3 linked regions of the Kluyveromyces lactis genome follow. The protein of the gene in region 1 interacts with the protein of each later gene in a biochemical or structural test. Links are inferred from orthologs where the notes say so. Each region holds a gene or a part of one and is shown in the gene's direction. Other genes may lie near its edges.

Region 1 (4,424 bases):
CGAAGGTTGTACTCTTTTGAATGACCAGGACTCTTATTGGTGGTTAGTTAAACGTTGCAGTGATGGGAAAATAGGATTCGCGCCTGCAGAACTTCTTGAAACGTTTCCTGAAAGGTTAGCTAGACTGAACTGTTGGAAAAACGAAAATATATCATCACATTCAATTTCTCATAAAGAGGATTCAAATTCAAGCAAAGAATCGAATATTTTGAACAAAGAAGATAGTATTGAGGCAGTTGAGTCCCCGTTGAACGCATACTCAAAAACTAATAAATCGGTTAGCTTCAATAATGTTGTCAGTTATGCTGAAAGATATATTGATGAAATAGAGCAAGAACCATTGGAGGACGACAGCGGAGAACTGAATGGTGCAGGAGAATACGTTCATGATGTGGAATCAAGAGACGGGCAAGACGGGCATCTACACCTGGGAACAGATCTTGGAACTCACTTAACACATGTCGATGAAATACATGAAACCCTTCTGAATGATCATTTGTCAGATGATGTAAGCGAAGTTGTAAGTGATGCTGCCTTCAATGTCCATGAAATGGCACCATTAATGGTGCAAAAAAATAGACCTTCAAAACCTGCCTTGACGGATCTGTTGTCAGAGAAACAAAATGATCTAAAACAAGTCTTTCAAGCTCCCACTATGCCAGTAGCAGCACCAAGAGGTACTTCCCAAATGACAAATTCAAATTCAAATTGTTCCATATCTACAATCGGAGAATACTCGCCTTCCTCTTCAGACTGGACAAATGATTCACCTCAGTTGCTAAGTGAAAAGGAATTCGAGAAGTCTAATTTGAATGATCAAATCCCATCTTCCAGAGCTATTCAAGATATATCGAAAATTGTAAGCTCGCAAGATGCGCCTGATTTGAACTCTCTTCATGATGAAGATTCTCTGCAACATAGTGAATCATTGCCAAAAGTAACTCATAATCACCAGCATTCGATATCTACACTGAATGCTGTAGATATCAACAGTTCTGTCGGGACAGAAAAAACTATTGATATTGATGAAGAAAATAGTATCTTACCAGATGAAAATACAAACGCTTACAGCACCGTTCCATCCTCTATAGCCTCAAGTTGCATGGACCATGAACACAACTCTCCATTAATTTCTGAAGTAGCATTGCATACAAGCACTGGTGTAGTAGGGGATTATCATCCAGTGATTAACTCCTTGTACAACCCTATTTTCAGCAAAATAGATGTTATGATGGACAAGATAGAAAACGCCATCTCAAACTGATATTACCTCCATTCAACGCATTATGTAGCTAACTTTTATAGAGACATAACCCAACAACAGCAATCACTATTGCTTCAGTAATCTGTCTGTGCTCATCTCCTGTTTCAGTACCGAAAGAATAACACACGTGACCGCAGTACTGCATTAGACTTTAAAATTTTTTTTTGGTTTGTTAGCTCATCGCAGAGATATCAAATTCACTAAAAACATTTGAGCAGGAGGAAGCACGGATATTGCTGATAAGGAAGTGGTCAGTACCGTGGAGACTCCATAAACAACCTTGAATCCCAGTATGCCATGGTCACCAGATAACGAAGGACTAACTCAACTTTGTTTGACATTACAACATGCTGTTTCAACTAATTCTGATGAGAGACAGCAAGCACTCGATGCATTGGAAACATTCAAATTAGAACCACAGTTTGCCAATTATTTATGTTACATTTTACTTCATCTTGAGGAAATGGATCAGTTAAGAGGTACTGCAGGTATTCTTTTGAAGAATTGCATATTGGGAGGCAACATCGTTGACCTAGGGTATGTCAAATCAGAAATTGTACGCGGGTTGTGTTTGAATAACAAATTTATTGTCAAGATTACTGGTATTGTAATTGCAGCCTTGTATTCTACTTATTATAGACAGCATAGAGAAGATCCTCAAGGGTTAATCACACTTGCACAATTAATTGAGCTCGCGAGAGACAATAACGAGGGTTCTTTGAAGGCCTTATCCAAAATGATGGAGGATGGTGCACAGTTTTTCCAGTTACAATGGTCGAACAATCAGGTGCCGATTGGAGAATTGGTATCGTTGTTTTTGACTTTGATGGTAGAAGGTAAGACACCAGTAGTCAGATCTGAGAGCATCAACTGTTTGAACAATATTATCCCGTTACAGTGCCAAGAATTATCCGTTAATTTAGATACTTTATTGACAAACATCTTCTCGTTAGCATCTAGCGAATCTTCATATTTAGTCAAACAACAAATTTGCCAGTGTTTGACCCTGAACTTAGAGTTCAGACCAGACAAACTCATGACACATCTACAGGGCATCATACAATTCATGGGACATTTGATTGTTAACACTGATAGAAACGATAGTGAAGAGGAGAAAGTTGCATTGGGAGCATGTGAGTTTATACTTGCGTTGGTGTCGAATACAAACGTACCAGATCATCTGATACAACCTTATGTGCAAGAACTTGTTCCACTTCTTTTGACAAACATGGTTTATAGCCAGGAAGAAATTGTTGTTATGGAAGCTTCCAACGGGGATGATGCAGACTCTGAAGACAAAGATGAAGATATCAAACCAGTTTCAGCAAAAATACAAAAGAAAAATGACGATGATAATGACGAAGACTCTGATGATGACGAAAACTTTGATCATGAATGGAACTTAAGAAAATGTGCAGCATCAGTACTCGATATACTTACCGGCATATTTCCGAAGGAAGTCATAGAAACAGCACTTCCACTACTTAGAGAACATTTGACTTCGGATAGTTGGTACATTAGAGAGGCAACAACACTATCTCTTGGTGCTATGGCTGAAGGTGGCATGAAATACTTCGATGGTCAATTGCCAGCGTTGATACCATTTTTGGTCGAGCAATTGAAAAGTCCATGGTTCCCAGTTAGAAGAATGACCTGCTGGACTCTAAGCAGATTCTCCATTTGGATCTTGGATGATCGTACCGAATTTTTAATGCCGGTACTAAATCCTATCATGGAAACTTTACTGGACAAAAAGAAAGGTGTCCAAGAGGCAGCCATTACGGCAATTGCCACTTTTATCGAGAATAGTGATCCTGATATAGTTGGTACAGTCCTATATGAGCCACTATTAGACAGATTCGACGAATGTTTCAGATTCTATCAAAAGAAAAACTTAATCATTTTGTATGATGCGGTCAGTAGGTTGAGCGAGAAGTGTGATCTTGATGAACAAGCTATTACGAAGTTACTTCCCCATTTATTGAACAAATGGTCTGCTTTGGACGACAATGACAAAGAACTCTGGCCACTCCTGGAGTGTTTATCGTATGTATCAACATCTTTAGGCCCCAGGTTCGCTCCGATGGCTATGGAAGTTTACAATAGAGCTTGGAATATTCTCTGCAGATGTGTTGATTTAGAAGCCAAATCACAAGTTGATCCAACGATAGTGGTTCCTGAAAAAGATTTCATCATAACTTCACTTGATTTAATTGACGGGTTAGTCCAGGGGTTAGGTTACGATTCCAAGGCCCTTTTATTCCCAAATCATGATACCAACATGTTTTCCGTCATCTTGCAATGTTTACAAGATCACAGCCATGAGGTAAGACAAAGTGCATACGCGCTACTGGGAGATATAGCATATTACTACGAGAGGCAATTATTTACAAGCGACTTCTCAAAGCGAATGGTGGAAACAATCGGAAACGAATTGATTCAAAACGGAGAAAACCATGAAGCTGTATCTACTGTCAATAATGCTATCTGGTGCCTAGGTCTCATGGCACATAAGATAGATCTGGGCCCTTGTATCATTGAAATAAGTAGGATAGTGCTGGACCTCTTCTGTTCTACTCAGTTGGTTTTACCAACAAGCATAATGGAAAATTTGTGCATCACCATTGCTAGACTAGCTCATTTCCATCCAGAAATCTTCACACAACCACCTTTTGCAGGCGAAACCCAATGGCACAAATGGTGCTCTATAGCCAGTGAACTCACAGATCCAGAAGAGAAAACCGTCTCTTACACCGGTTTCATTAAAATAATGAACTTAATGGATTTCAATGCCCAAGGCATGCCTTCCGACAAAACCTGGGAGCTCTTTTTCAGAGGATTGCAACAAGATGTCGACATTTCCATTATATCAGAGGACCTCTACGCTTTGGCAATGAGGCTACCAGATCCTTGGCAACAATTGTTAATGAACTCCGGAATGTTTTGAACAGAAGAAAAGCATGATGTATAACCGTCATTGTTAACCAGTTACATAACGAATAGGTTACGACGCTCGTATGTGTAGGCAAATAATTTCGATAACCATACCCTTCCCCTCTTCTCCTGAGGCAAAGAGTCGTAGTAAATCACAACTGTCCAGCCGTTGCAATCACGTGATGCAGTCCTAGGCAAGAGCGTTTTCGGTTTTCTCCGAAAGAAT
Region 2 (3,561 bases), about 700 kb from region 1:
TTTCATTTGCGCTCTTATACTGTTCAAACTCGGGATGAGCTTGGACACTCTTGTGCAACGACTCATAAGTATTACCTTCACCCCAGTACTCATAAATGGCTCTTGTAAGCACCGATCTCCTAATCCAATCACTGGCTTGCTTATCATTTTCCAAGGTAACTATCATGAATGGTGAATCGACAGAATAACTCGAAAAGTCGACATCAACTCCATGCAGATCCGCTAGTGATTCCAATTCTGCTAGACGGAAATTTAAGTGCACCTGCACCATAAACAAAAGATACCGCTTCCTAGCCATAGATGATGGTTATAACTGGCGTTTGTATTAATTCTAAATCCGGAAGTACGAAAAGTGATTAACTGAGAAGTCGCACTTTCGATTAAAGAGGATCTCATCTCATCGCAGCTCATCTCGATATTTCGCTTTCTCTGCATGTTTAGCTGAAGTCGGCGTTGAATGAGTAAAGAAAGGTATATAGGATTTCATTACCCGGTGTTTCTGATTGTTTGGGCGCAGTTTTGGGACGAGTTGTCAAAAAGTTTCTTTTTTTGCAAGGCGAAATCGACAAAATGACAACCAAAAAGGCCCTAAAGCATGAATTTTTCACTAAGAACAGCGAATAATTTTTGGGGCCAAGTTGTTGCCATTGGAAAAAAAAAAAAATTAATTTGAATATAAAAGCAGTACAGGAGAAAAATTGAAGGGGCAGAATGTTTCTTCCTGTTTGTTTACCACTTTCCAGGTGATTAGACAGTCTAAAGAGATAATCAAGTCACTAAAACGAGTTAGGGAAGGATATAGGATTCAAAAGTATAGAAGTACCCGTATATCATTAGCGAATCGAAATAATCAACGGAACAAAGAATATTTACACTGTATTTTTTCTTTTTCTTTTCATTTATAAGATACCGATTGTTTTCAATAGAGTTTTAGAAATTGCAAACTAGGAGAGAGGAACCATTGTTACCGGAAATAGCTCATATTTGTTTTATTTTCGTACTGTATTAGATCTCAGTTATTACTTTATTATCGTCTACTACTACTTTTAACGTATAACATTAAACTTTGCTGTGTGTTGCTGTGTTTAAGCTATAAAATCCCCATACAGACAAAAAGAACAAGGATCATTTAAGTAGAGCGGAAGAGGAACGGCGCAGGAAACTTACACAGCGTTATCGTACTTATATTTACAAACGTTTACTGCAGATTTATCATATTTAGTGTACAGAACTAAGAAAATCCAAGTGGTAAAGTGAACGGTGCAACAAGTAGACGAATAAGAAGAAATTGAAATATTGCATTCAAGATGAGTTTATCAGACGATGAAGATTTTAACGACATCTACGGTGATGAAAATACCGCTCAAACCACGGTGAACAATAACGAGTCGACTTCATCAACTGCAACATCTACAGATAATCAAAATAATACTCAAAGTAATAATAATCAAAATAACGTTAGTAATAGCTCGACAGATGATCACAAAGATCAAGCTTCAACTACCAATAAAGAGGCTAATAGTAGTAGCACAAACACCACCGCGGCAACATCTCAATTAGATCAACTAGCAGCTTTACAGGCTTTGTCATCTAACCTGTCACAACTGCAACAGCAGGTTGCCTCTTCAAATAATCAACCAGATTCTAATCTTGCATCCAATAATGACAAGGCTGAAAACAATAACAAGGAAAACTACAGTGCTTCCGTTCCTGAAATGCTGCAGATGCCTCAAATGCCACAGATGCCAGGTATGCCAGATATGTCACAGTTGCAACAATTGCAACAGACTATGTCTCAATTGCAACAAACTGCATCTCAGCATGAACCAAAGGCTATCAAAGCTGATTTGTCTCGTGACATTAACAAGATGTTCATTGGTGGTCTAAATTGGGAAACCACCGAAGAGGGTTTACGTGATTACTTCAGCAAATACGGTGCAGTCGCTGAAGTTAAGATTATGAAGGACACTGCTACCGGTAGGTCCAGAGGTTTTGGGTTCTTGACATTTGAAAACGCTTCTAGTGTCGATGAAGTCGTTAAAACACAACATATCTTAGACGGTAAGGTTATCGATCCAAAGAGAGCCATTCCAAGGGAAGAACAAGATAAGACTGGTAAAATTTTCGTTGGTGGTATTGGTCCAGACGTCAGACCAAAAGAATTTGAAGAATTTTTCTCTCAATGGGGATCCATCATTGATGCCCAACTAATGTTAGACAAAGATACTGGTAGATCTAGAGGCTTTGGTTTCATTACTTATGATACACCAGATGCAGTTGACAGAGTTTGTCAAAACAAATTTATTGAGTTCAAGGGTAAACAAATAGAAATCAAGAGAGCTGAACCTAGACAATTACAAAAGCAAAAACAACCTCAAATGACTCAACCAATGGGACAAAATATGAGCAACCCAATGCAACAGTATCAGATGTTCCAAAATCCAATGATGGCAGGCGGTTTCAATCCTATGATGGCCACTGGTTTCAACCCTCAATCGATGAACGAATACTACACTAAGATGCAAGAGTATTATCAACAAATGCAACAACAAACTGGTATCGATTATACTCAAATGTTCCAACAGCAAATGCAACAAATGCAACAGATGATGGGTATGATGGGCGGTCTTCCTGCAGGCCAACAACCTTCTCAAAGTGGTGCAGGATCTCCACCAAGCCATTCATCCACCCCTCAACACAACGACGACAGTAATGGTGTCACTACTATTGGGAGCTCAAATAATGGCAACCGTAGTAACAGTGGAGTAGAATCTGGAGATGACTCAAGATACGATAATTCATCAAGCCGTGATGATTCTCGTCGTTCAGGACACAGAGCATACGATCGCAACTCTGATCGTAGCAGTTATGGCTCGTCTAACCGCGACCGTGACAGCTGTCGTGGCCCATCTTCAAACTATCGCGGAGGTGGTGGCCGTGATCGTGATTCCCGCCGTGGTGGTAATGGGTATGGCGGTGGAAGCAGAGATAGACGTGGATACCACCCATACGCCAGGTAATCTGCTTGTATGTTAGATTTATTATAAGGTAAAGAAATCTGCGTATGTAGCCGCGAGCAAGAGGATACTTTGTGTTACTTGTTATATTTGCGATCCATCCATTTCTTTAACTGAGCCTCTCATAACCATGTAATAATAGAAATATAATGAAAGCAATGATTCCTAAGCATCGGATCAAATCACATTCCTTGCTGCAAATGTCACACAATATTTTACCATACTCTGTTTACCTGATTCATGAACGTTAACACGAAGCATCAACGCAATTTTATTCAACTTTTATTGCTAATCAAAGCTTAATTTTATATAATAACATGTAAATCAGTATATATCAATCAAACTTACAGTTTATCAACTACTATTCAACCTGACATTGGACCTCACACCGAATGGTCAGTGTGTGTATATACAGTTGTCAGTATTCATGTATATTTGGTACAGGTTAGGTTGCTTCTCAATCTGATTTTGAATATAGGCAAAAGTGAAAAAATATCAAAATCAATTCCAATTTGACATATACTAGCATTCACAATTACACATG
Region 3 (3,566 bases), on another chromosome or scaffold:
GGTGTATATCAACATCAAAGCCTATAATCACATCGGGGTGGTTCACTGGTTTATTTGTACCAAAATAATGAGTGGGAACAACTTAAGTTCTGCTAACCATCTGGATAGCGAGAAACTAACAGAATTATTGAGGAAGAAGTATCCTTTTTTGGTGATGTATGATGGGAAGAACGATGTAATAGATCTTGGAAAGTTTTATTTAGGATTTGCACATTTTATGTCGCGAGAAATTACTTTTGCGGAGCAAATCAGCAGCGAATTTATATTCGCCTTCATGCGAATAGACTCAGAAAGAAGACGTCTTGAGCATGATGACGAATTGTTTTCCAAGGCATCCGATGATCTTTTGGCTACAAGAAGAAATATAAACAGATGGGCTAAAGAGTTAGAAGTGCAAATACTTCCTATTGTACTCTCTGCATACCAAATTCTTGCAGGTGATTTAACTGAGGGAGTAGAGAAGATAAAGGAAGCACTTAGGGATGAAACTTTGGATGGATTAGCCATAAGACTCAATATCCTTTCAGCGTATGCTATCGATATTATTAACGAAGTGATAACTATTTATCCGGAAATGTACAACCTGTCGGTATCTAATAAGAGAAGTCTTGGGGATTACTCTCTACACCTCACATTAGCAAGTCTTCTTTTGCAGTCTCTTCATCTATTTGCCGACCTTTGTGAACGCCATCCGAATTTATACCAACGATCGTTGCAACCTTTCACTTATGAACAATTCCAGATAGAATTGCAGGAAAAGTCGGAAGCAGTTACCAAGATCAACGAGGAATACGAGGAACTTATTAAAAGCATTACGACCATAACATTTAACAATGTAATAAATTACATGAAAGACAAGAAGACAAAACTACGAGACACTTCTAAAGAATACCTTTCTAAAGAATAGATATGAAGTAAGAAATTTCGACGGAATTTGTTATATGCATTGCATCTCATCACGAATAAATAAATTATAGCATAGAATCATTCTGCATTTCCACATGGAAACCCAATAATTAACTCCTCTAAATAATGAATACTTCCCTAGAGAAAGCTACTAGCAGTTTTATAAATATGAGAAAGATTTCTAATGCTCATCAACCACTGATCCAGGTCTCTACCTAAAACTGGAACAGGGTCTATTCACTGTCACTATCATATAGCAACTAACATATAATACAGGAGTTAACAACGAATCACGTGATAGCTCGGATAGCAGAGGACATCGTTCTGATTTCTTTTTCTCCACTCAACCTTCTGCGTAATATTCTACGATATTCCGTATACAGAGCCAAAAAAAAAATTGTTTCGGGCTGGTACAAGAAAAGGAAGAACAAGATTACATATACTTAAAACGAAATTAATTACGAATAATCTGAATGATTCTTTAGCAGTTATTTGAACAAGGATAAAAGCTAGTTTTGTTGCTTGATCAAACTAAAGAGGACACAAACCAAGAGTAGCAACATGTCAACTGTACCTGAATATATTGCCAGCAATTTAAAGACTGTCATCTCCGAGAGATTAAAGGTTGTTCCTAATTTCAACGAAGATGTTAACCAAGTCGCTGAGTATATTACACTTTTAATGTCCAACGGTTCCAGCGGTCCTGATATCGTACAAGAATTGACAAGTTTGTTTGATGGTATTAGTACGCAAGAGTTCCAGAGTGTTGTCTCCATTGCATTTACATCTGCAGATCTGTTGAAAGCAGGCGATGACTTGAACACCGTTTATGCAAAGTTGAGTGGTAATTCATCTCAACCTTCTTCAAGTGCACCTTCTGCACCTGTGTCAACTGGAACCGAAACATCTGTAGGAGTACCAGTACAGTCACCACCCGTTTCTGCTCCAGCTCCAAGTGCACCGGTTTCTGCATTTAGCGGGGTAGTAGATGTGTCTGCATCTAAATATAATACGGCTAACGAAGGGAGGTCTTCGCAACGTAACAAAGATTCATCGGCCCATAATGGGACTTCTAGACGTGGTGGTTTCAGCTCCATTAGAGGTGGAATTTCAAAGAGTGCTGGTGTTACCAATAGACGTGGAGTTAACTCGAGATACGGTGCTAACCAACTGGCGATGGCTCTTGGAATAAATGAATCGGAAGGCGCAAATGAAACATCTGGCCATGTTGTCATCAAGAGAGAAGGCCGTTGTCCTGATTTCCCTCACTGTTCTCTAGGAAGGAAGTGCCCTCGTGGACATCCAACCGTTACGTGTCCAAGTTATCCAAACTGTAAAAATCCACCAGGTACATGCACTTATTTACATCCAAATGAAGATGGACAATTAATACAAGAACTAGAGCGTGTAAGAGAAGAACGCAGGATAAAGAGGGAAGAGATGGAAAAGAAACAACAGCAAAGGATCAGTGGTATTGTTGTATGTAAATTTGGGATCATTTGTTCTAATCAAAAATGTCCATTTGGTCATCCAACTCCTGCAAATGAAGACGCAAAGGTTACCCAATTCAGTTGGTGCGAGAACAACTTGCAATGCACTGATCCGACCTGTAACAAGGCTCACAGTTCCTTATCCAAGATTAAGGAAATAAAACCAATCATACACAAGCCAGCACCAAAACCGGTCATTTCTAAACCTTCTAATCCAAAATTCGCGCCAAGATCGGTTGTCCCATTGGAAGAAAAGATTTTGGAACAATGTAAGTTTGGTCCAAAATGTACCAATAAAAATTGTCCAAAGAGACACGCAAGGTCGTCAATCATGTGCCGCGAGGGTGCGCAATGTACAAGAATAGACTGCCTCTTCGGTCACCCTATCAATGAACCTTGTAGGTACGGGGCTGAATGTAGAACATACGGATGTTTATTCCAGCATCCTCCAGAAAGGGTATTGCCTGAAAAGCCAAAAAAGCCTGATACAGAAAACACCAACGGTATTTGGTTCAATCCGCAGCTGATTGGAAGTGGAAATTCCTCGAGTAACGAGAGACCATTTGCTGTACCAGAATCTAACGTACAGTCAGTTCATGCTGGACAAGAAGTAGATGGCGATGCTATGATGATGAGTTAACATTCCAATCTACTCCGCTCTATTTAATGGTGATATCCTTAACTGTTTTATTTGAATTATTATTATAGTGTTATATCTATTAATTATTAAAAAAAAAAAAAGTCTTAAAAGGTAAAAAAATACTGTAAAGTAATAAAAAAAAAAGGTCAACCGGAAGAAAGACTACTGTAAAAAAGAGACTGGCAGTGTTTAAATTCCAGAAGCCTATTAATATGATTGGCGTATCTTGACCTGTACTCTAATGGTCATATAAGAGAAATCCCTTTTACCTTGATTTTATCACTATCTCTTTTTTTTACCATATGTCTTTTTCTCTGGTTTTTCTTGCTACGAAGTGTATAGGACAGTCATATAGTTTCCCTTAGTTAGTTTGTCACGTATATTGATCATTTATTATGATCGATCCTAAAGGGTTAAGGTCAATTATAATGAGTGTGAATATATATGATATGTAGCTTGTGAAGAGAAGAGGAACAATTGGTAAAATGTCAACAATATATTATTGTTTCAGAGAAAACATACTGACAGCT

The links.
Region 2: the proteins of KAP104 (region 1) and HRP1 form a complex in vitro, tested with the Saccharomyces cerevisiae proteins (2 studies listed by BioGRID). The link is inferred for Kluyveromyces lactis from reciprocal best matches to the Saccharomyces cerevisiae genes KAP104 and HRP1.
Region 3: the proteins of KAP104 (region 1) and NAB2 form a complex in vitro, tested with the Saccharomyces cerevisiae proteins (3 studies listed by BioGRID). The link is inferred for Kluyveromyces lactis from reciprocal best matches to the Saccharomyces cerevisiae genes KAP104 and NAB2.

Annotation. Positions count from the first base shown.
Region 1 is NC_006039.1:390,612-395,035, forward strand, and holds KAP104 (Kap104p), read left to right. Parts: upstream 1-1,556; coding exon 1,557-4,211; downstream 4,212-4,424. Other genes in the region: protein phosphatase regulator BUD14, read left to right, coding at 1-1,264. UniProt on the Saccharomyces cerevisiae protein: Functions in nuclear protein import as nuclear transport receptor. Serves as receptor for arginine/glycine-rich nuclear localization signals (rg-NLS) and PY-NLS in cargo substrates. Its predominant cargo substrate seems to be mRNA-binding proteins.
Region 2 is NC_006039.1:1,093,267-1,096,827, forward strand, and holds HRP1 (Hrp1p), read left to right. Parts: upstream 1-1,307; coding exon 1,308-3,020; downstream 3,021-3,561. Other genes in the region: TRM11 (tRNA (guanine-N2-)-methyltransferase), read right to left, coding at 1-298. UniProt on the Saccharomyces cerevisiae protein: RNA-binding protein, which is involved in the polyadenylation-dependent pre-mRNA 3'-end formation and cooperates with the cleavage factor CFIA complex and the cleavage and polyadenylation factor (CPF) complex.
Region 3 is NC_006042.1:903,982-907,547, reverse strand, and holds NAB2 (mRNA-binding protein NAB2), read left to right. Parts: upstream 1-1,467; coding exon 1,468-3,036; downstream 3,037-3,566. Other genes in the region: KLLA0_F09867g (uncharacterized protein), read left to right, coding at 1-907. UniProt on the Saccharomyces cerevisiae protein: RNA-binding protein involved in RNA processing and transcription regulation. Acts as a regulator of mRNA stability: binds the poly(A) tail of mRNAs and pre-mRNAs, preventing their degradation by the exosome.